Linked DNA regions of Drosophila melanogaster. The protein of the gene in region 1 interacts with the protein of each later gene in a pairwise test. Each region holds a gene or a part of one and is shown on either strand. Other genes may lie near its edges. The genes, in order: SkpC and bard.

Region 1 (9,957 bases):
AGTGTAATTCAATTGAACCAATTGTAATTTAATGCCCACACTTACAACTAAACTACAACTTTGAAATGTTAACAGGACTCCAAACAACTAGGCGAATGGATAATATTTGCTGAGTAACAAGCTGATTGCCAAGTATATGGTCCATGATGATAGATCATAGGGACTCAGACTGATCACTGTTCAATTGCTACTCAAGACTTGGCTTAGATCCCCTCGTAATTGATGCCCCTGCTATTCCTCCGATATTCCCTCAAACCAAATTGTTTCTTACGCGCTTTTTCCTCCTTACGCACGATTTTAACTTTTTTTTTCGCTTTTTTGCATGCACAGGAGGCGAGTGGAAGAAAACTCGGGCCGGGTTCAAATAAAAAGGGGTTGATTATGGTCACTAGCAAATTGGTAGTACACAGCCACCAAAAAACGGGAGGATCCCCGCCCACTCAGGTCATTCGGTTGTGGACCAACCAACCGTCGGCGAGGACAAAACAAAAAGTGGAAAAGTGGTTGATTTTTCTTTATTTATTTATTCTTTTTTCTATATGATTTTTTTGTTTTTTATTGTTGTTGCTGTTGTATTCTTTGATTTGCCTCGCAATTTCGGTGCTAAGATTTTCACTCTTCCTTCGGCAAGGATGAATATATATATATGTATATAGGAGGTAAATAGCGCGAGCGAGTGGGACAGATTGATGGGGTCTGCTTCTAATGGTTTTTAAATTTGGTAATATTTCAATGCCATTTACGGCTAATGCGCAGCGCGAAAAATTCCTGTCCAGAAACTGTGAGAAAGCCTCGAAACGCCAGAAGGTACAGTTGGTAGCAAAGGGTAGAGCGAACCCCTTTCATTCTTCTTCCTTCCTTTGCATTTGTCTAATTAGGCCGCAACGCAACGCCATCTGTTGGCCAGCGTTCAGAGCTAAGAGCTTCATTGATCTGCGTAGAAAAATGCGGAAAACTCTGAGCGAAAAAGTGAATGAAAAATTTAAAGGCCCCACATGAATTGGCATAAATAACATGCACACACACACACATGCACGAATAAACCAAATAGAGGGACAGACAAACGCTTCACACTTTCGTTATTTTTGGCCAGCGGGCAAAGTGAAAGCGAGTGAAAGCGGGAAAAAGGGGCAAACGACGAGTCCAGACGCAAGTGAAAGTCAAATGGGGGTAGTAACGCACACACTCACAGCCACACAGACACATGTGGCACGAGCTAAAGAACGTAATCGCTCGTAAGTCCTGGCGTCCAGTAAAAAATTCAAAAAAAAAAAAAAAAAAATGAAAATAATGCGAATTGCGAAAACAGGAAACGAGAAAGCTCCCCGAGTCCTGTGTAAAAAATTCATGCGTGTGTGTGCGTTTGGCACGGTCGAACTCACACACACAACCCCCCCACCCTCCTGTTATTACCCCACCACCGCCACGCACACAAGCACAGACACACACGTCCCCGTCAGTCACAAGTCATTGGATGTCCTTCGTCCTTCGCAGCCGGCAGCTGCTGGCAATTCCCGGCCAATACAGCCAGACATCTACGCTTCAAATTTCAATATATTGAATAATACAGAGATCAAAGTTCTGGCCATGCACCCGTCGATTTTGAAGGACGAAGGACGATGGGCGGAGAAAACTTGGAATACATTTGGGAAATTGAAAACATTTGCGGATGCCAGCGTTTTGAGCTCAAGCGATTTGATCGGACTTCAAAAACAGGCCAAAAAGTGCTCCTCTGGGAGTCGTGTGGTGCCAGAGTCCTTCATCCTGTTCTACTCAATCATAAGGTGTAGCTATTGGCTATCCAAAACTGACACTTTTTTGGCCGAATTGCATCCGCATTCAGTTAAGTTTATATATTGTAGCGAAAGCAAGTTACACATAATTGGAGTATTTCGAATTTTGGTAACTGATTTCATGTTATACAGTGAAAGGGAATGTTAGATTCGCAAATGAGTATGTAGCAGGTAGAAAGAAGCAGGTATGCCCACGTCCTATCTCTTAAGCAGTTCAACTCCTGCTTGCTAAAGCAGTTCCCTCTGTTAAAGATATTTTGTACGTGGTTCTATTCGGAACTATTATTTTGAAATTTTTTAATTGAGCACTTACCCAACATTCATATATGTTTTAAAATTCATATTACACTTTTTTTTATTACACTTTTTAGGTCTGCTATAATGAATAACACAAGATTCGCGATTCTTAATAAGAAAGCTAAAGCGATCCTACAGTTCTTGATGTTCATTTCTACTGTGTAAACATTTGACAACGGTGTTTCCGCAGTGATCCCACCTGGTCACTCTGTTCTCACATTCTTTCATATCCTTTTTTTTTTAACTTTCGAATCGTCCAGTTGGCTCGTGCTCTATCAATCATCCCATCTCGTACTTCTCTCTGAATCACTCGTTTGTAGTAGTTTGGCAAATAGAAAGGCAAGGCAAACCGAAAATGGATGCTCCCACCATCAAGCTTGAGTCCTCGGATGGGGTGATCTTTTCAACGGAAGTCAAAGCCGCCAAGCTCTCCGAAACCATCAAGACCATGTTGGAGGTCTCTGCCGTGGAGAACGACGAGAATGCCGTTGTGCCGCTGCCCAAGGTGAACGCGTTCATCCTAAACAAGATTCTGACCTGGGCCTATCACCACAAGGACGATGATGACCAGGCAGCGGAGGGCGAGGAGTTGACCCCGCAAAGCCCACATGACATCTCACCCTGGGACGCCAACTTTATTAACGTCGATCAACCCATCTTGTTCGAAATTACAGTGGCCGCCAACTATCTGGAGATTAAGGGCCTAGAGGATCTCTGTTGCAAGACGTTGGCCAATATGATTAGGGGAAAGACTCCCGAGGAGATCCGCCAGACGTTCAACATCGAAGACGATTTACCGATCGATACGGCCGAGTTGGGCGAAGACCTGTGAGGCACAGAGAAGAAGAGGAAACTTCACCGGAACCTTACTTTGTTGAGAACTTTTTTGTTTCGCCTAGATAAATATACTAATATTATATAATATATATATATATATATACCAGTGTTGGAACAAGTACATTTTGTGTTACCTTAGAAAGGTGGCATGTTATGGACTATGATAAATAAATAAGGTTAGATTACAATCCCAGTGGCTATTCGGACCGATAATTGGTATCAAAGATAATTACCTTTAATCAATTTAGAATGAGAGTTGATCTGTACTGTGCTGTAGTCTTCCACGTTTTAGACTCTAAAAGGTAATAATTTTAATATATACAAAACGATGTATTTAAAATCAATTAAATAATGAAAGTGTGGATATATGTATAGTATAAACTATTTTTATGAAATATGCATATAAGATCATTTGGATGTTTGGTTCAGACTGGTTACGTGTAACGAAAAGAATTGATGGAAGGCAAGGGAACCTGTACTGGCGGATGCACGCTTCAGAATCCGGCTCTAGCTCTTTGGCGTTGTGGGGTGGTGGTCTATGCTTGCGACAAAAGAATATAGGAGTTAGTATACAAAATCGGAGGAAGCAAATTAATATATTCGAACGAAGATAGTTCAAGAAGAGAATGAAAGCATGAAACAATAGGTGTACCTATGACCTAGCTTTCCTTGAGAGCAATGGCTCTAGTGGCCCCTTATGTGCCCTATGTCCGGAGAAACATCAGCCGAGTTCAGTATTTTAATTTTTACATATTCATTTCTATCATTTGCTGACTAATGATTAATAACAATATTTATAGGAACCAATAATAAGTACATAACAAATTGAAATAAATTTAATTTGCTCAGAGTAAGGTGATAGATAATGACTTATGTAAGTTAAGAAAAAAAACTATAATTAAATAGACGTTAAGATGACTAAATATAATCTAAAAAAAAAAGAATAAATTATTTATTTAAGTTTTTCCATATTTCAGTTTTTTTTTTCAGTGTTGTTGTTCTTCACGATATTCTTGTTTTATAAATTATTACTTTTTTTTCAAATCAGTTTCTTTAATCAGTAAAAATTAAATGTAAGTGAGTGGGTTGCGGGTAAGGTCGGTTAGATTTTAATTAATATTTAATAGCTTATAGTCTAGCAATATAATTAGGGTTCAAGCAATTGTTCTCAGTGTATTCATTTGTCGCGTTAATCTGTATAGAATTTGTTCAACTTTGGGAAAAACAAGAGAGAATGCTATAGTCGAGTTCCCCGACTATCAGATACCCGTTACTCAGAAAAATCGATAGATATAAAAAAAAATTATAAAAATTTTAAAAAATTATTCCAAAGTGTGGGCGTGACCGGTTGGGCGGTTTTAGGGCGTTCGAGTGGGTGTGGCAAAATTTTTGTTTTTATCAATAGAAATTTACGAGACTAATAAAAATTTGAAATAATATCAACACGTTTTTCGAAAGTGTGGGCGTGGCAGTTTTGTGCGGTTTGTGGGCGTGGCAAATTAAATAAAAATTAAAAATACAAAAGTAATATAAAATAAGTCTCCTCCTTGGGTTCACATTTAAAGGAATTATTGCGAATAATTCAAATATTTGCGGATATAATTATTCAGAAAATTTCTCTCAGTGTACATTCGCAGTTTGATATCTTTCACGCAAGTATAGGTTTAGGTCCGATAGAATTTATCAATATGTTTACTTCAGCAGAAACTTCTCCCTCTGTATTCATGTCTTCTAACCCTAAAATTATTCTTGTCCACATGCTCACTTTTTTTAATTAATATATCTTTTAAGCATTTAAATTAAATACAAATCTTAGGGTTTTGGTTTATGTGCGGCTGCTGTCAATCGATGGGAAGGGGTGATCCCCGGGACGGCTCGAAAAGGGTGCTCCACAAGACGGCATGACTCGAGTTCATTTTTTTGCTGACCGCCTAATAGGTTAGAGCCTTTGCGTCAACTGGCACACAAAAAAAAAAACTTAAATCGCGTTCCGTTTGGCGGCTAGGAAAACTCACTCGAATAATGGTATTTTCGCACTTTGTTTTTGCTATCCAAAACGGACACTTTTTTGGCCGAATTGCATCCTCATCCTCGTATTAAGTACGTAATTAAGTACTAAAGCTAGCAAATCGAAATTCTTCTTTGTATCTTGGATTTAATATTAATATATTATTTTGGAACTCGGTTCAAAATACAGTTTTACGGTAACTGAAAATTTTGATTCTGTTAAGTGTATATATTTTATGGAAAGCAAGTTACACATAATTGGAGTGTTTCATAAAACAATAATAATACAGTAAAAGGGAATGTTAGAATCGCTAATGAGTATGTAACAGGTAGAAAGTGCCTTCTGTCCGTCTGTTTTTCAAATGAAAAAATATATATTTAATTTAAAGTTTTTTTGAAAAATTAGAGCAAGTAATGTAAGCCCACGTGCTATTTTCCAGTTCCCTCTGTTAAAAATATTTTTTACGGGGTTCTTTCCGGAACTATTATTTTGAAATTTTTTGATTGAGCACTTACCCAACATTCATATAGGTTTTAAAATTCATATTACACTTTTTTTTATTACACTTTTAAGGTCTGATATGATAAATAAAACACGATTCGCGATTCTCAATAAAAAAGCTAAAGCGAATCTACAGTTCTTAATGTTAAGACTTCCAATTTCTAGTGTGTACACACTTGACGACAGTGATTCCGCAGTGATCACATCTGGTCACTCTGTTCTCTATTCTTTTTTCTTTGAACTTTCGAATCGTCCAGTTGGCACGTGCTCTATCAATCATCCCATCTTGTTCTTCTGAATCTCTTTGAACGTAGTTTGGCAAATAGAAAGGCAAGGCAAACCGAAAATGGATGCTCCCACCATCAAGCTTGAGTCCTCGGATGGGATGATCTTTTCAACGGAAGTCCGAGCCGCCAAGCTCTCCGAAACCATCAAGACCATGTTGGAGGTCTCTGCCGTGGAGAACGACGAGAATGCCATTGTGCCGCTGCCCAAGGTGAACGCGTTCATCCTATCCAAGATTCTGACCTGGATCTATCACCACAAGGACGATGATGCCCATGGAGCGGAGGGCGTGGAGTTGAGCCCGCAAAGCCCACATGACATCTCAGCCTGGGACGCCAACTTTATTAACGTCGATCAACCCACCTTGTTCGAAATCATACTGGCCGCCAACTATCTGGAGATCAAGGGCCTAGTGGATCTCTGTTGCAAGACGGTGGCCAATATGATTAGGGGAAAGACTCCCGAGGAGATCCGCCACACGTTCAACATCCCGGACGAAATACCGAGCAGGACGGCCCAGTTGGGCGAAGACCTGTGAGGCACAGTCTCTTTCGGAGCAAATCCGGTTGGGACACCTGGAACCTTCCTTTGTTGAGAACTTATTTGTTTCACCAGAATAAATATGATATTACGAGTATTTTTGAAAGCATATCTATTGTATTTTATCAACATATTCAGTTTACAGTTTACTTTGGCAACAAGAACACATAAAACATAACTTTTTAAATCGTTTCATGTTCGCTTGGGCTAAAGGAGTGCTCTGGCTCTATTCCCAGTTGATTGCCACCAAGCCGCCCGGGGATACAAGCACACACCACACACCACACCACACACCGACCCACTCCACTCCATAGCACCCCAATCCCGGAATCCTGGTGCTCCTTAAGCCGGTTCCTGATTTGGCAGCCACGCTAATTTCCAAAAGCCTTGGCCGTTGGCGCTTATGAGCTCTGCATCCATGAAGTTCGCATTACGTATGTAAAATAGTGCAGAAAACCCCCAAATGAACCCAAGCCCAGGGTCCCAATCCTCGTATTCCAAACCCTTGGACACAACTTACGCACTTTACATACCGTTGCGGGGTGGGGAGGCGGGTGGTGGGTGGCAGGAGGCTGGGCAATGTCCTTTATTGTAAGTTAAGTTGCTGCCCACACATCTGTGTGTGAATGTGGGAGGGGGCGGCCTACGGCTTGCCACTCGCCTTTCTTCGTCCGTTTCATGTGTGCTTGAAATTTAAAATGCTCTGTGGAAATTGGTTTAGTCATGTATGTATGTATGTATGTATGTATGTGCCCAGTGTGCGTTTGTTTGTGTGTGTGCTTAGGGGGTGAAAGCATACACATACAAGAATGTCAGGTGGGCGTATGTGTGTGCGTGTATATGTGGCCATTGGTTTTCCTGCATAAACATAACAAAAATATAGCCAAATGTGCCACACTCGACTTAAGATTCTCAATTGTAAAGTACGCAATGTATGTACATATGTATACATATATTTATGGAAATATAAAAATATTAATATCAAAATTTATTTACCTTGTGCTCTGTAATTTGTTGAAAATTGAATAAATTTCAGAATGGTATGCTATATAGCTGCTCAATAAGAATAATAATGCAGTGGATATAATTATATGTTTGTTCTAAACGATATAAATATGTACGTTGTATCATTATTATGAATATTATCATCATTATCAACTTTACAAGAAATGCACGTATATTACACTTCAGTGAGAAGACACTATCCAAAATGTGTGCCAAGTGCTGTCAGTTTTGCCCCACTGTGCACCACGCCGCACAATTGCCTCGGGCGATTGTTGTTGCTAACTGTGTCGGTGATAGCGGAGCGAGCGGATAGTTTGCTTGGCCATAAGTTGTGAGGCATCCTTTGTAGTTTGCAACCGCATACCCATTTCATCAGGCATGCTTGTACATACATACATACATACATATGTATGTACATACATAATGGGCAAGTCGGCGACACACTTCGAAAGGATTAAATTCTGTTTTAGTAATTAAGTTGAAATTTATAATCAAGCCGAGGGTGGACCAGTTATGTACAGGCCCATCGACATATCCCAGTTTGGCCAACTTCTGGTCATGCGTATGCGTGCTTCTGAGCCACTTTGTCTTGGCCAAAGTAGTTTTCAAGTTGTGCTGCTGCGGCTGCGGCTGCTGCTGCTGCTGCTGCTGCTGCGACTACAGACAAACAAATGGAAAGTGGAAAATGGAAAATAGAGTATGAGGTATGCCCACCATGCCAGCCACGACTCTGGAGTGAAAGTTTTCGCCAGCTCTTTTTTCTGGTAACTTTGGCATTCGCACGCCTCAGCGCATTCGCAATCCGAGTTCAAATCCATAGCATACTTTTGCGGGCGGCATGTTTAATTTATGGCCGTAAAGCGCATGCATGTGTGTGCGTGTGCGTGTGCGTGTGTACATGCGGATGTGTGTGTGTGTGTAGTTTTCTTTACGCTCTTTTAAGGTGGACCCAGTGACTTAGTTCCCACAGCGAGACAGTATATTTTATATTTGGGTTGAAGTCCTGCCCAGAAATGCAAAATCACGGCAAAATTCTTGTTTTTATTTATTTATTTTTATTCTTTAGCCTGGCAGTGACAAGCGGAGGCGACACTGATGCACTGCAAAAAAAAACAACAACCAGTGCTTGGACATCAAATAAAGGAGAAACTTTAAGCACGTCATGAATTTAGCTCATAGGTACTAGCATTGTTTTAATTGATTTCCCATGAATATATGTATTTATTATATTTATGTATATATTTTAATGCCTTTAGCATTGAAATACAATACCGATGACTGCGTAAGATTTCCGCATTTGCCGACCTTATTTCTCAGTGCACTGGTCGTGGCCAGAAATCAAGCTCTCATGAAACACCACCAACACCAACACCAAGCATCCAAATGGGGTGGACTAAAAGGGTTGTCTTGTCCTTGTCCGCCTGTGACGGCCAGCGAAAGTTTTACAGAAGAAAATCATTTGATAAGAAGGACGGCGCGATAGGGCGAGAGCGCGAGCGAGAGCGAGAGAGGAGACAGCTCTTTTCGGACACAATTTCCTACTTAAAAAAAAAAAAAATAAAAGAAAAGGAAATCGAAAGGGGGCATCTGGTCTGTCAACTACATAACATTGCGAATGAAAATTCGAGGGAAAATTTCCCTTCGCTTTTTTTTCCCCCCTGCGCTTTGGGTCGTTTATTTTTTTTTTAGACACAGATACATACAATTTGATTTTTATGTAATTTATCATTTTCCTACTGGCGATTTCTGCTCTACAGTCGCTCAAAATGCTTCTTCTTCGAGGGGTTTGACCATCAAGTCAGATGTGAAATGTGGAGTTTGAGTAGCAAATATGGAGCTGCAGAGGGGAAGGAATCACAATAAATAGATGTATATATGTATATATATGTATGTACATATGTGTCTGGACCTATTTTAATGATATATGCATATGCAGGAACAGGAAGACGAGCTCTGTTCCTGCCATTGTGTACTTTACTTTCCCTCAGCAGTTCAGATTCTAGGGCAAATGCTAATCATGCTAGCAAGAGCTCGGAAAATATGACAAAAGTTTGATTGATTAAATATATTCCTTTTAAATATTATATATATATATAAAATAATAAAAAATATATTATATGAAAAAGTGGGATTGCACACAATATAATATAATAATAATAAAATATGGCTCAAATTTCATGATCAACAGGAAAATCAGAAACTCTCAGAAGTCCACGCACCTTACAACGTCATTCCACAAGTTATTATCTTTCTAATTGCATTCAACAATCTTTCGGACTTAAAGAAAGGGAAAATATGTATGTACCTATTAACTTGGATACCATTCTTACTGAAATAAGTAATTGGTGACATAGACATATACACATCTCTGCGAAAAACACAATGCACAATGTGCATTGCACATGCCAAGTTTCAATACCAACAGCAAATATCACACTCTTTTAGTTTTAGGTTTATCTTTTGGCACAAAATACAAGTATAAAGCTCACACAAACAAACTACATAAATCGCTAAACATCATGGAATGCTTATCCAGCGGCAGATACAATAGCCACCCCACACATAATGGTAGAAATAATAAAAAGTCTGTGCCTTTCCGAAATAGACTTCGCATTACCCATTGTTTTGAGTACGAAACACCGTGTAAGCGCGCGAACAAGGCACCCTTTATCTTTGCTTACATAATGCTTT
Region 2 (11,155 bases), on another chromosome or scaffold:
GAATGTTTCTATCAAATTCTATCAATTCATCATCAATTCAATTCTATCAAATTCTAACATACTAAATTTGGAATTACTTGCAATATCGTTTAAACGAATATTTTTTATATTTTCGAATATTTCTAAAATTGTTATCATCCATCTATTAATTTGTATCTATGCTAACAAGTCTGTTCATACACCTAACTAGCTCGAACAAATATTTTCCAAGTGCAGACATACCGAAAATAAATACTCTGCAGCATGTCGCAATCCCTGTCTGCTGTCTGTTATCTTAAAAACCTTGTTGTCGTCTTAATTATTGCGTTAATGAGTTTTCTGTTTGCTCTTCTTTCCACCGATCAACCCGTTCTGCATCTCGTGCTATTATCAATCAATCGGCGATCGACGATCGTCGATGGTCGATGGTCGATGGTTGGCTGGATCGAAAGTCTGTGGCAGGAATACCCGGCTGATCATATGCGTCGATAAGCGGTCAATCTACAATATGTTTGTATAATAAATAGTGTGAGTGCTATCGCCTTGCACTGATATTTATTAAGAAGCGACGATAAGCGATCTTACGTAGCATGCCGCAGTAAGGAAAAAAAAAGAAGGAATGCGATCTTAAGGACCGACAGGATACGAAATTCCAGTAGTGGGGGTCACAGCTTATGGATTTCCATGTCGCAAGTTCCCCCCAGGCCCCCAGGCCCCTAATCCCACATTTAATTAGCATGTTCAATTATGCTCGTATATTGCTCCACAGCTCAAACAACACAATGGATCAATAAACAAATTATCAGGGTGTGCGTGTTCCATTTCAATGCCTCGACTCTGAATTTCACTTTGATTAATTGTGGGAGCCAAGAGTTCCCACTGCGCAAGGGTTCTCATTTCTTCCCCCATTCCTTGTCTACCAATCTCGGTGTGGTTTTCCAACTCGACCAAGAATTGGTAAATTGTTAAGGTACTCAGGCGTGTAGTTTCCTCGATGGAGGAGTGAAAAATTAATGATTTGTTGATTTATGAATTGAATCGGGAGGTCAAGTCAAGTGTACAATGATAAACGAAGGCGAAAACCTAAAGTATCCAGAGTGTGGAGGACAGAGGGTTGTGCGCTGTCTGTGGGGTCTCTTGGGAATTTTGTGGGTGAGTAATTGAAACCGATTATGGAGAACTGGGAAAAAAGAGCACAGTAGATGGGTTCTGCATGATTGCGTACTAAAAACAAAGTCAAGCATTTCTTTTCAGAACCCAATTTTCAAGTTGTAAGCCCAAAACAGGTAACTAAGTGATCGCCAAGACTTCAAAAGACCATTTAAAAAAACTGTCCATCTAATGAGCTGAAACGAATACCCTAGTTAAGACATTCAGAAGCGAAACAATCAAGGCACCATGGAATTAAAATCTCAGATCGATAGTTTGGACATTCAGAAGCAAAACAATTTGCAGTAAAACAGCACTAAAATAAATATCATCCCATCAGTGGATCGCTCCAAAAAGCACACAATAGATATCCGCCCAACACAATACACTTCATCTGGAGTCCATTTGGGGAAGACAACATCAAGTGTTGGATACATAATTCGGCTGTGGACTGTGGACACTTTATGACCGAGGAACATTTGTGACTAAATGCAGGTGGGAAATGTGGAGCTACCACCTCGCCGGTTTGCTGCATTCTTATGCAAATCGCTTTTTGGATGCCAGACAAAGGAGATCTCATGATCATAGTCCACAATTTTGTTGGCCGATTGTTAGCCGCTTATTGTTTGGCCAGTTTATGGATCGCCAATTTACGACTGTTAAGAAGGAAACGTGTCGAATGACACAAAGTGCTACCAAACATTAAGGTAGCAAAAGGAAAACCATTAAGTTCGCATCATAGAACATGTTAATTTCTCAATTGTTTACTTTGGCCATTTATCCAGGCCACTCCCCTCAATTAGTTTTCACTTTTATGCAGAGTGCAGCGAACATAATTGCAACAACTTATGGTAAACACAACAAACAAGCTGCAAAACAAACTCAAATTCAACCAAATAAAATCACCAAGCCATTCAAATTGATTACAAAACCAAGACATGCGAACACACTCTGAGCCTTGGAGGATGAATTCTGTCCAGGTCTTCTGATAAACATGACTTGGCGAAAAGTTTTGTTCAGTTTGTTTGGACTGATGCTTGTTTTTATTGTTTAGCTCGTTATCAAGTCAAAATAATCAGCAGTCGTCTGTGGATCTGCGGCACTAACAATTGTCATTGTTAAAGCCGAGCCAAGCTCACAGGAGCCAGCCAAGTTCAAGTCCACATGGCAAATGTGCCCCATCATGTCGGGCCATCCAGGTGCCATCCAGCTTCCACGGTGCCCCCTTAAAAAGTGAAGCTCCTCATCATCGCCAACGAAACAGGAACAAAATCAGAATCTCCCGAGGCAAAAGCTCCAACAGACGCTCCGAACAATGCAACATGATTCGCGAATTATAAACACCACGCGCTGATGCAAAGCAAACGGGAATGGGAACTACGAATAAAGAATACCCTAGATAGGATCGAACTAAAAGTTACTTAAGGATGTATGCATGTCTAGGTTTAACTTCTTAGGAATCGTAATGGCAATACCCTTTGTTTATGGCCCTGAGTACAACTAACGTAAAAATTGTTGGTAGTTTCTAGGAAATGAGATAAGTTAAGATTGTTTCTAGATTCATATTATTAATACTTAATAGCTAATGGTTATACCCTCTTGGAAAGAGTATCTCAACCATCATTTTCGTATATTTCTGGAGCAATATAATCGCTTGGCTGTCTGAAAATTAAGCAGCCGCCGCAGACAGACGACTACGGAGTTTCGCTGAAAGTCCCGTCCCGGTAATTGTGGCAAGTGGCGCGCCTCTTCTGGCTGCCGTTGCAGCTACTGCTTTCCACTTCACCATGGCAGCAGCAAGCTGCAAACAGCAACTGCAACTGCAACTGCAACTGCAAACTGCTAGCCGCAGCTAACAACGGCTCTACACAGAAGCCAAAACGTGTCGTCCTTTTGAGCCACTTGAAGTGCTGCCCCTTCAGCTGAAGAGTGTGTCTTGATGTTGCTGCCGCTACTGCTGCTGGTGTTGCAGTTGCGCTGCTGCAGCAGTTGTTGTCATCATCGTGGTACGTGTTGCAAAAGCAACAGCAGCCGCAGCGGCAACAACAGCCTCGTTTTTAATTAAACAATGTAAGCAGCAGAAGGCGAAGAAGAAGCTAAAAAAAAAATATATATATATATATAATACAAAAAGCCAGCCAAGTTCAAGTTGGCTTGTGTGTGAGTTATGAGTTGCGCAATCACGACTTCTTGTCTCTGCCCAAAAAACGCAGTCTTCCTCTTTTCGTACTGGCTGATTAAGTTTTAGAACAAATGAATTAAAAAACGTGCACTTACGTTTTTTTTTTTTTCCTGGCAGCGGCAACGGCTACCGATCGTGTTGGCTTGTCAGTACGGAGGTGTGAAGTAATTTGGCCAAAAGGGCTTACCTGATTTAACAGTGGCAGCTGTATTTCAGCCGCCGCCTGATCCTTTTGTGCCGTCCCGGTTTTTATGGCTATAGGAATTTCAGGCAGATGATGCTTGGAAAGTTCTCAACTTTTTCATTTTTATTTACCTGCAAATAATGCAAAGGAGATATGTATGTGAACAGCGTTTTAAGCTCCAACGATCTCTGTGTAAAGATAAAATATTGTAATTCATTTAAATGAACAAATCAGGCAGAGATCGAGGCTAAAAAGAACTGTCCACTTGGGAGTCAGGAAAAGTCAAAAGCCAACAGCCTCCACGGTAGATTGTTGTGATGTGATTACGTCAAAATTATTAAAACAGTCTCGAGTCCCTCATACATATACACATACATACACATACTTCGGTATGTCATGTTTCCCAATTCGTCTGCTGCCTTGATCGACACTGATCTCAGATAAGACAGTCAAACAGAGACCAACCAAAAAAAAAAAAAAAAGTATATTATAGCCGAAAAAAACGAATACCAGAGACAAGTGCATTTGCATCAGAGATATACCCCAACCCGTTTTCCAAATCTCGTGTGAAGCAACGTTTTCCCAAAAGAAGAAAACAGAGTCGCTGAGAATTCATAAACATCAGATTTGAGGTGTAGCCAACAAAGTTGTTGAAAAATATGAACAAATGAAAATATTTTCACCAACCGGGCCAAAATAGAAATGTGCATTATATCTACATTAAGAAGTTGGCTCCCCGCTCAAGATTGTCAGCATTGTCTGTTGCCCAGTTTTATGCTTTGACAGGCCATAGACGCACACAAGGCTGACAACAATGCCATTAGTCCCTGGACAAAAGCCAACCCAATGACAATTGACAACAGAGGGTATCCAAGAATTATCAATGGGAAACGCAGGGCAACTGTACAAGTTTGTCCGGGAAACGGTGTGAACCTTCTTCAACACTCACAAAAATTATTTAATAATTGTACTTAAGTCTATCCTAGCAAAATTTTACTAGATTTTAAAGGAAATCAAACTAAGAATGTACCTCAATTTTTGATATTTTTATATTTTACTTTCCTATATATGATTTTTTCAATTTATTATATGTTAAATATATTATTAACAAAGGTTTGTGATCTTATAACATTTACTTTTAACATATATATTCCTTGGACATACTTTAGTGAAAAGGATTCGCTTTTAATCGCTTCGACAGTTTTCATCAGCTACGTTTCTCCCTTAATATAAAGATAATTCTAACACTGTATCTTTAAAAGAAAATGTATTTCTTCGGATAATAAACTGTGCAGTTTCTTTTTCAGTGTCTTCTGTGATTGTGATTCCTCTAATCGCTCGCTAAGCTGCCAGACAAAAACACATGGCTTTGATTATTAGATCGTTGAAGCTCGCACAGAATCCATTCCATTCTATTCTATTCCATTTGGTGGGACTGTTCTTCGTTTACGATTCCTCTGCGAGAGTTGTTAGCATTTCCTAGAAGCCAAGCCAGGCAAAGCCGAATGCTGACCACGTTTTGTCCAACGCATCCGGCCAAGATTCTGGACTGGAACAGGGCAGTTGCTAGAGAAGTTGGCTGGGAACACGTCTGGGTTCGTGTAATATGCAAACTAGTGAGTCTCTCTAGCGATAACTGTACAGATAGGGTTTTTTTTCTGCAGCAACAACAACAGCGCAGGCTTACAAATTGCAGGCAGTATACGACGGCGCAATTTATGAGGACCGGCGCGATCATGGCGCGATCCTACAGATCAGGTAACTACAGGTAACTACTACTGAAAGCTGGCACAGCTGTTGCCAAAGGATTAGCCTGCAAAAGAGATAAGGACACTGGGTAATCCTTCCCCACTACTACCTGATTCACTCCCTCACTAAATGCACTACCTAAATTTGCATAAAAACTTAGATTCATCAAAACAAGAGCACATTCAACCAACAGCAGCCTTCGAGGAAGCAACACACAGCAGTCATCACATTTGACAGACAATACATACAATGTCGCAAATGCACAATACCGCATTCTACAAGGACGCTCTGGTTGCCCAGCAAAATAATACCTGTTCACCGATGGAGGAAATTGAACCGAACTACATCGACAACCTGCACATTATATTTTTCGAGCAGATTTTCGAAGAGATCGACAATCTGATCGATCAGGTACGCATGGCTAGGGCCTATCCACAGTTCATGCCACAGATTCTCAAGTTCTGGCAGAGGCGACTGCACCTGATCATCGGTCCAAATACACCATTCCTTGGACTCCTGGACATCGATGACTATGTCTTCTTTATGGAACACATGGCTGATAGCTTCACGGATCTGCACGTTCACGACGGCGTTGGTTCCTTTTCTGAATTCTACGACTATATCACACACCTGTGCGATATCAATATCACCAAGTTTCCCAAGGTGGACACTTGCATATTGGCGGGCAATCCCAACACAGTGGTCGATGAGGACATCCGCGACTTGACGGTAATGTTGCCCAATCTCAAGCGCCTAATGACCTGCATGAATCTATCTGGCTTATATATGCGTGGCTTCAAGAAGTTGGAGGAGCTGGTATTCAACTCCTTGTACCATTCGGTGCCATTGGATAGCCGCTGGATTCAGGATATCTGTCTGACAATGACCAATTTGAGAGTCCTTGACATTACCGATCAGTTCGACAGTTGTGTGAGACTCACAGACATCAAATTGCCCAATCTGGAAGTGCTAAAAATCAACTTGAGCACCGTAGAATGCATGCTATCGGAGGTGCTGCAGTTGCCCAAGTTACAGAAACTATCCGTGCGATTCGATGATTCGCGGCAATTGAACGCAGATCAGGAGACCATCTTCCAGCAGATTGTGGTGGCCAAAAGCGAAAGGATCACCCGAATTGCCCTGAACAACGAAGTGGTTCAATTGCCAGCTCGGTGGCAGCAAAGTTTGCTCCTCGAACTGCCCAAGCTGAGGAAGGTGATATGCGAGAATTGGTGCCACAATGATTTCTTCCTGGATCGCCAGCACATGCCCTGCCAACAAATGGAGGTGCTCAGCTTCAGTGGCTGGGAGATTGTGCGGGAGACTCAGCTCCTGGAACTGGTCGCCGAGTGCGTCAATCTGGAGCACTTGGCTCTGAACGGCTACCACAGCAACTGGGAGAAACTTACTAAGCTCGTGAATATTCGCAATCAGGAAAGGAATCCCAGACCACTGCAGGTGTTCAGCGACATGATGTGGGGCAACTTCACACCCGAGGAATATTATCACTGGCAGAGCAACAAATATGTTCAGGTCACCTGTGACAGCAGCGAATACGAATATCAGGAGGATGGTTTCGAGTTTGATTTTGAGTGAATAACAGCTCAACAATTTTACCAATTGTATATACTCCTAAACAAATATTTTTTTTCATGAATTTTGTAATTTTTTATATTTTCTATTGTATATAAATAAGACGCACTGGCTAAATCAAAAGCAACGCACATTTTCATTCTCAAACACTCCCCGATTGCAGGCAATTTTCCAAGAGGTCTCTCCTTCAACGGCAAACATTTATTTATTTCGCATTGCAGCGCTTTAGGGTCTGGCAAATGGAAAAATCAACACACTTTATGGCCAGCGAAAAGATTTAACTGTGCTTTGGGCCCCAAGTTGCCGTCATGGCTTCTTGGACTCTCCTCACATGTGGCATGACCTCCACTCACATGGCCAGTTAATTTCGCGAGGCATAAATTATTTGATTTGATTGAGTCGGAAAATGAGTTCGCAAAGTGCCCAAAGCTCTTTGCCGACTGTCCGGCTCAGTTCCCCGATCACCGAAACTCCTGACCATTGGCCAACTGGCCAAAAGAAGTGAAGTTTGGCATGGCATTGGGGATTTGGCTCTCTTACTTCAGGGTTGGCGCAATACAACTGCTTTCAAATAAGCTAGATTATAGATGTTTAACTATAATTTGTGTGTAATTGTTAATATTTTGGTTATTCCATAATGAATATGTAAACTTTGTTTTATGAGGTTTCCGATCGGAAAGGATAATCACAGGGTAGTCTAGCCTTCTGGATTATAACATAATATCCCATAACATATCTACTATAAACGATAACTATCCCATGCGTACTTGCACGTGAAGGAAATTAAGCAATTTTGAAAAAATGTGCGCCTGGCTGAATGATTTACATAACTTTTCTCTTCGAAAAAAAATATGGCTTTTGGGAAAAAGAGCATAGTTTTGCTTTCGTTTTCCAACATTACGTGAGCCGATCGCGTCTGTCGGCCTAAATTATTGGCCGCACTGGCAAGTCAACACAAAGTGGGGTCCGGACTAATTTGTGGCCCCCATCGCCCCATCAAGAGATTAAAATGCAAACGAGGGCAGTCAGTTGGCTCTGGGCGACTCGGCGACGACAGTTTGAAGTGGACAAAATTTAGAAATAATGGACTATTAATTTATGGCCAACGGAGGAGACCAGAGATCGACTGACCAACTGACCGACCAACTGGCGTAGTTGCCATTTCCAAACGTTTTTTTTTTTTTTGGGGGGGATAGACCTTTTTTTTGGCTATCGACTTGTGTTAGCCGCATATCTATTGGTTTTTCATTAATTGACTAATTGCAGGGGCATTTCTTTGACATATGCACCACTTAAGGTCCAAAACTAATGCGACCCAATTAAAAGGCCGCTCCGCTACATCTTCGCACTCCAACCCAACTTAAGCATTTTGCCTAATTTCTCTATCAATTTTATTTAACATGACACTAGGGCACACAATTCGTCATGGTGATGGCAATCAAAGGGTCATCTACAACCTGTCCCAAGTGTAACGAATTTGTAGGTGAAATTGGAACGCGAACACGAGGATTTCTTGACTTTTAAGCCCCAAAATTGGTTCGATGCCACAACTTTGTGGATTTGCAGAGCAAGCTTGTTAATGAAATCGAATCGAATCAAATTAATCGAAATGAGGCAGCCTAGCACCAGCTGATTTTACCATAATTAAATTAAACATAAAAGGTCCAAAAAATCCCCAGAGGCCCTTAAGTGGTGTACTGTGTCGGATAAGTTCGATCGCTCAGACCATAAATACGGCGATAAGACGATGCGGCTTGCTTTTGATATTGTCTTTTACTTTTTGTAAAATTCAGTGGCTGTTGTTGCCATGGTTAAGGTGAAATTAGAGCTTGTAATGATCGGTGATCAATTATGGGATATTACAAAAAATATTAATTAGGTGCGCCTTTCTATATAAAGTAATGCGAAAGCTTTTCTGCATATTAAATAATATAGTAATATGATTTCTGCTTTATTATACTAGATTCGTTGAAAAGTATGTAACAGGCAGAAGTAAGTATATATATTCTAGATCAGGATCAGGCTATGTCCGTCCGTCCGTATTAACGTCGAGATCTCAGGAAGCATAAAAGCTAGGAGATTCAGCATGCAGATTCCAGATAAATAGAAGCAACGCAAGATTGTTGCCCTAAAGATGCAATTTTCGTTTAAACTAACTAATCAAATCAATACCAATATTTACTCACAGCAATCTTTGATAATGTACATATTTCAAGAGAACAAAACAATTTTATCCTCTTATATAATTATCAATATAAGTAAACATTTAAACCTATTAATAATATTCGAATATATATATATATACTTTTTTTATTTAAGATCATCGACTTAAGACAATCAATTCGGTCTTCAGTTCAACAATTTATCGTTAACGGATCGGTATTCTTTCACGAAGTCTTAACCATGAACTGGCTTTCCAGGTGGCCCACCGTGTTGATTTGCATCACCATCGAACCAAGAAAAAACCACACAAACGAAAATAACACAAAACATTAACACGAGTGTCAACAAATCTTAACGAGGTAACAAAATGTTTGGATCCGGTGCCAGTTTCCTTCAGTTTGGCGCATAACTAGCTAAACGTTGACAAATCGTTTGGTAACTCTATACTTTTGTAATGCAAAAAGAGAAAAGTAAGACCCTATTTTGGGTCTACGCACAATACAAAGACCTCGGACACAGGCAAACGAACAACAACGCCAACGAACTACAAGATAAATGCTTACAATTTTATTGCCAAACCGAAAACTTGACATCTTGTCGCCGGTTCGTTGAATGTTCGTTCGAACCTCAATCGTAGCCTGCCATTTGTTTTCGGCCAAAACAAAACAAAAAATGCTTAAAAATATATGGATGAAAAAAAAAAGGAAAATTGCATCCCCGAGTCACAGTCGAATTGACATCTCATTGATTAATGCCAGGCGGGCCGGTCCCAGACGGTCATTGCGGCAATTGGCGCGGTTCGATTAATTTGTCACTTGGCAAAAACTTAATTACCCCGAAGATTGTCATAGCTGGCTCAGTTGGAGGCCACTTTGATGGCTGGTGTCTTTCGAAAATCGCGTGACGTATCATAAATTCCAAATGATTTAATAACGTGAGCGACTCAAACCTAAGCCGCCTCTCCGATGAAAGCGGAAAAATATTTGCATTAGAGCAGTGATTTATATTATATATAGATAACTACAATCAATTTAAAATTCATTGCATAGTTTAGTTGTTAAATCTATATATTTTATAAGGTTTGCATACATTTTTAATGAAATTCACTATAATTTTTTGTGTAGTGTAATGAAGCAGATGAACGGCGATGGACAAATGATCGCCTGCTTTATGATGTGCTATCAATGGCCTATCAATGGCGGCGATTTTTGTTCTGTCCGCTCATTTGTAGAGCCATCAAAATGCTAATTGAAATCGCTTTTCCTTACCGCTTTTCCTTGGCTAGCCGCCTTTCATCTACAGCCGTCGCTGCACCAGAAACTCAAACACGCGGCTGATAATGCTCCAAATCGAAGTCATTTGGTAGCCGCGGCGGCAAAGCATCAAAAGCTATCGCCAACTGTAAACTGTCAAATTTAATAACTGCATCTAACAATGCTTAAGAAGCAGCAAAGTGATCAAATTGAATATCTTCAGGCAACTTAACGATCCGATGCACTCACAGGCAGCTCAGATTTGCATTTAAATCGTCTAGCTACCGCCGATGCTTTTTTTTTTTTGTGACAAAGCATTTGCCCCTACCAAACAATTAATTAAATGCGTTCTTCTGGGTTATTAAAAACAAATTTCCAGCATTAAACACGCTTATCGCTGCACCTCGCTAATGAAGACATCAACAGAGGCGCTGCAAAACAAAAGACTTAGGTGACGAACTTGACGAACTCTTTGCGAGGCTCGAATCCGATCGGTTCCGTGTGTTGGCTTTGGTCGCTGATCGCGCAAAGGAAATCAAATTAATTTTATACCCACTATATTCAGAAAAAAAAAGAAAGGAGTTCGATTTAGATCTAGGTCTTCTGGAATGATATTCAATAACTGTTCTTTTGTGATTGTCATATATTGAAATATAATAATAAATAAATAAATCTGAATAGTTCTACTGCAATAAGATTGCATAAGGTAATAAACCCTAAGCTTTTAAACGAAAATCTATACCTTACTACTTCCAGAGTTCAAATCGAACAAAGTTCTTCATCTCCGCAATCATCGGCAGCAGAAAACTGCGAAGAGTGCAACATTTTGTAGCTCGCGGGCACGTGCATGCAATTTTCATTCATACATTATTCATTCATAATGCGCTTGTGGTTTTCACGAGG

The links.
Region 2: the proteins of SkpC (region 1) and bard interact in a two-hybrid assay, tested with the Drosophila melanogaster proteins (one large-scale study listed by BioGRID).

The regions. Positions count from the first base shown.
Region 1 is NC_004354.4:19,810,356-19,820,312, forward strand, and holds SkpC (SKP1-related C), read left to right. Parts: upstream 1-5,716; 5' UTR 5,717-5,782; coding exon 5,783-6,259; 3' UTR 6,260-6,345; downstream 6,346-9,957. Other genes in the region: SkpD (SKP1-related D), read left to right, coding at 2,446-2,922.
Region 2 is NT_033777.3:18,075,629-18,086,783, forward strand, and holds bard (bard), read left to right. Parts: upstream 1-5,419; 5' UTR 5,420-5,492; coding exon 5,493-6,839; 3' UTR 6,840-6,955; downstream 6,956-11,155.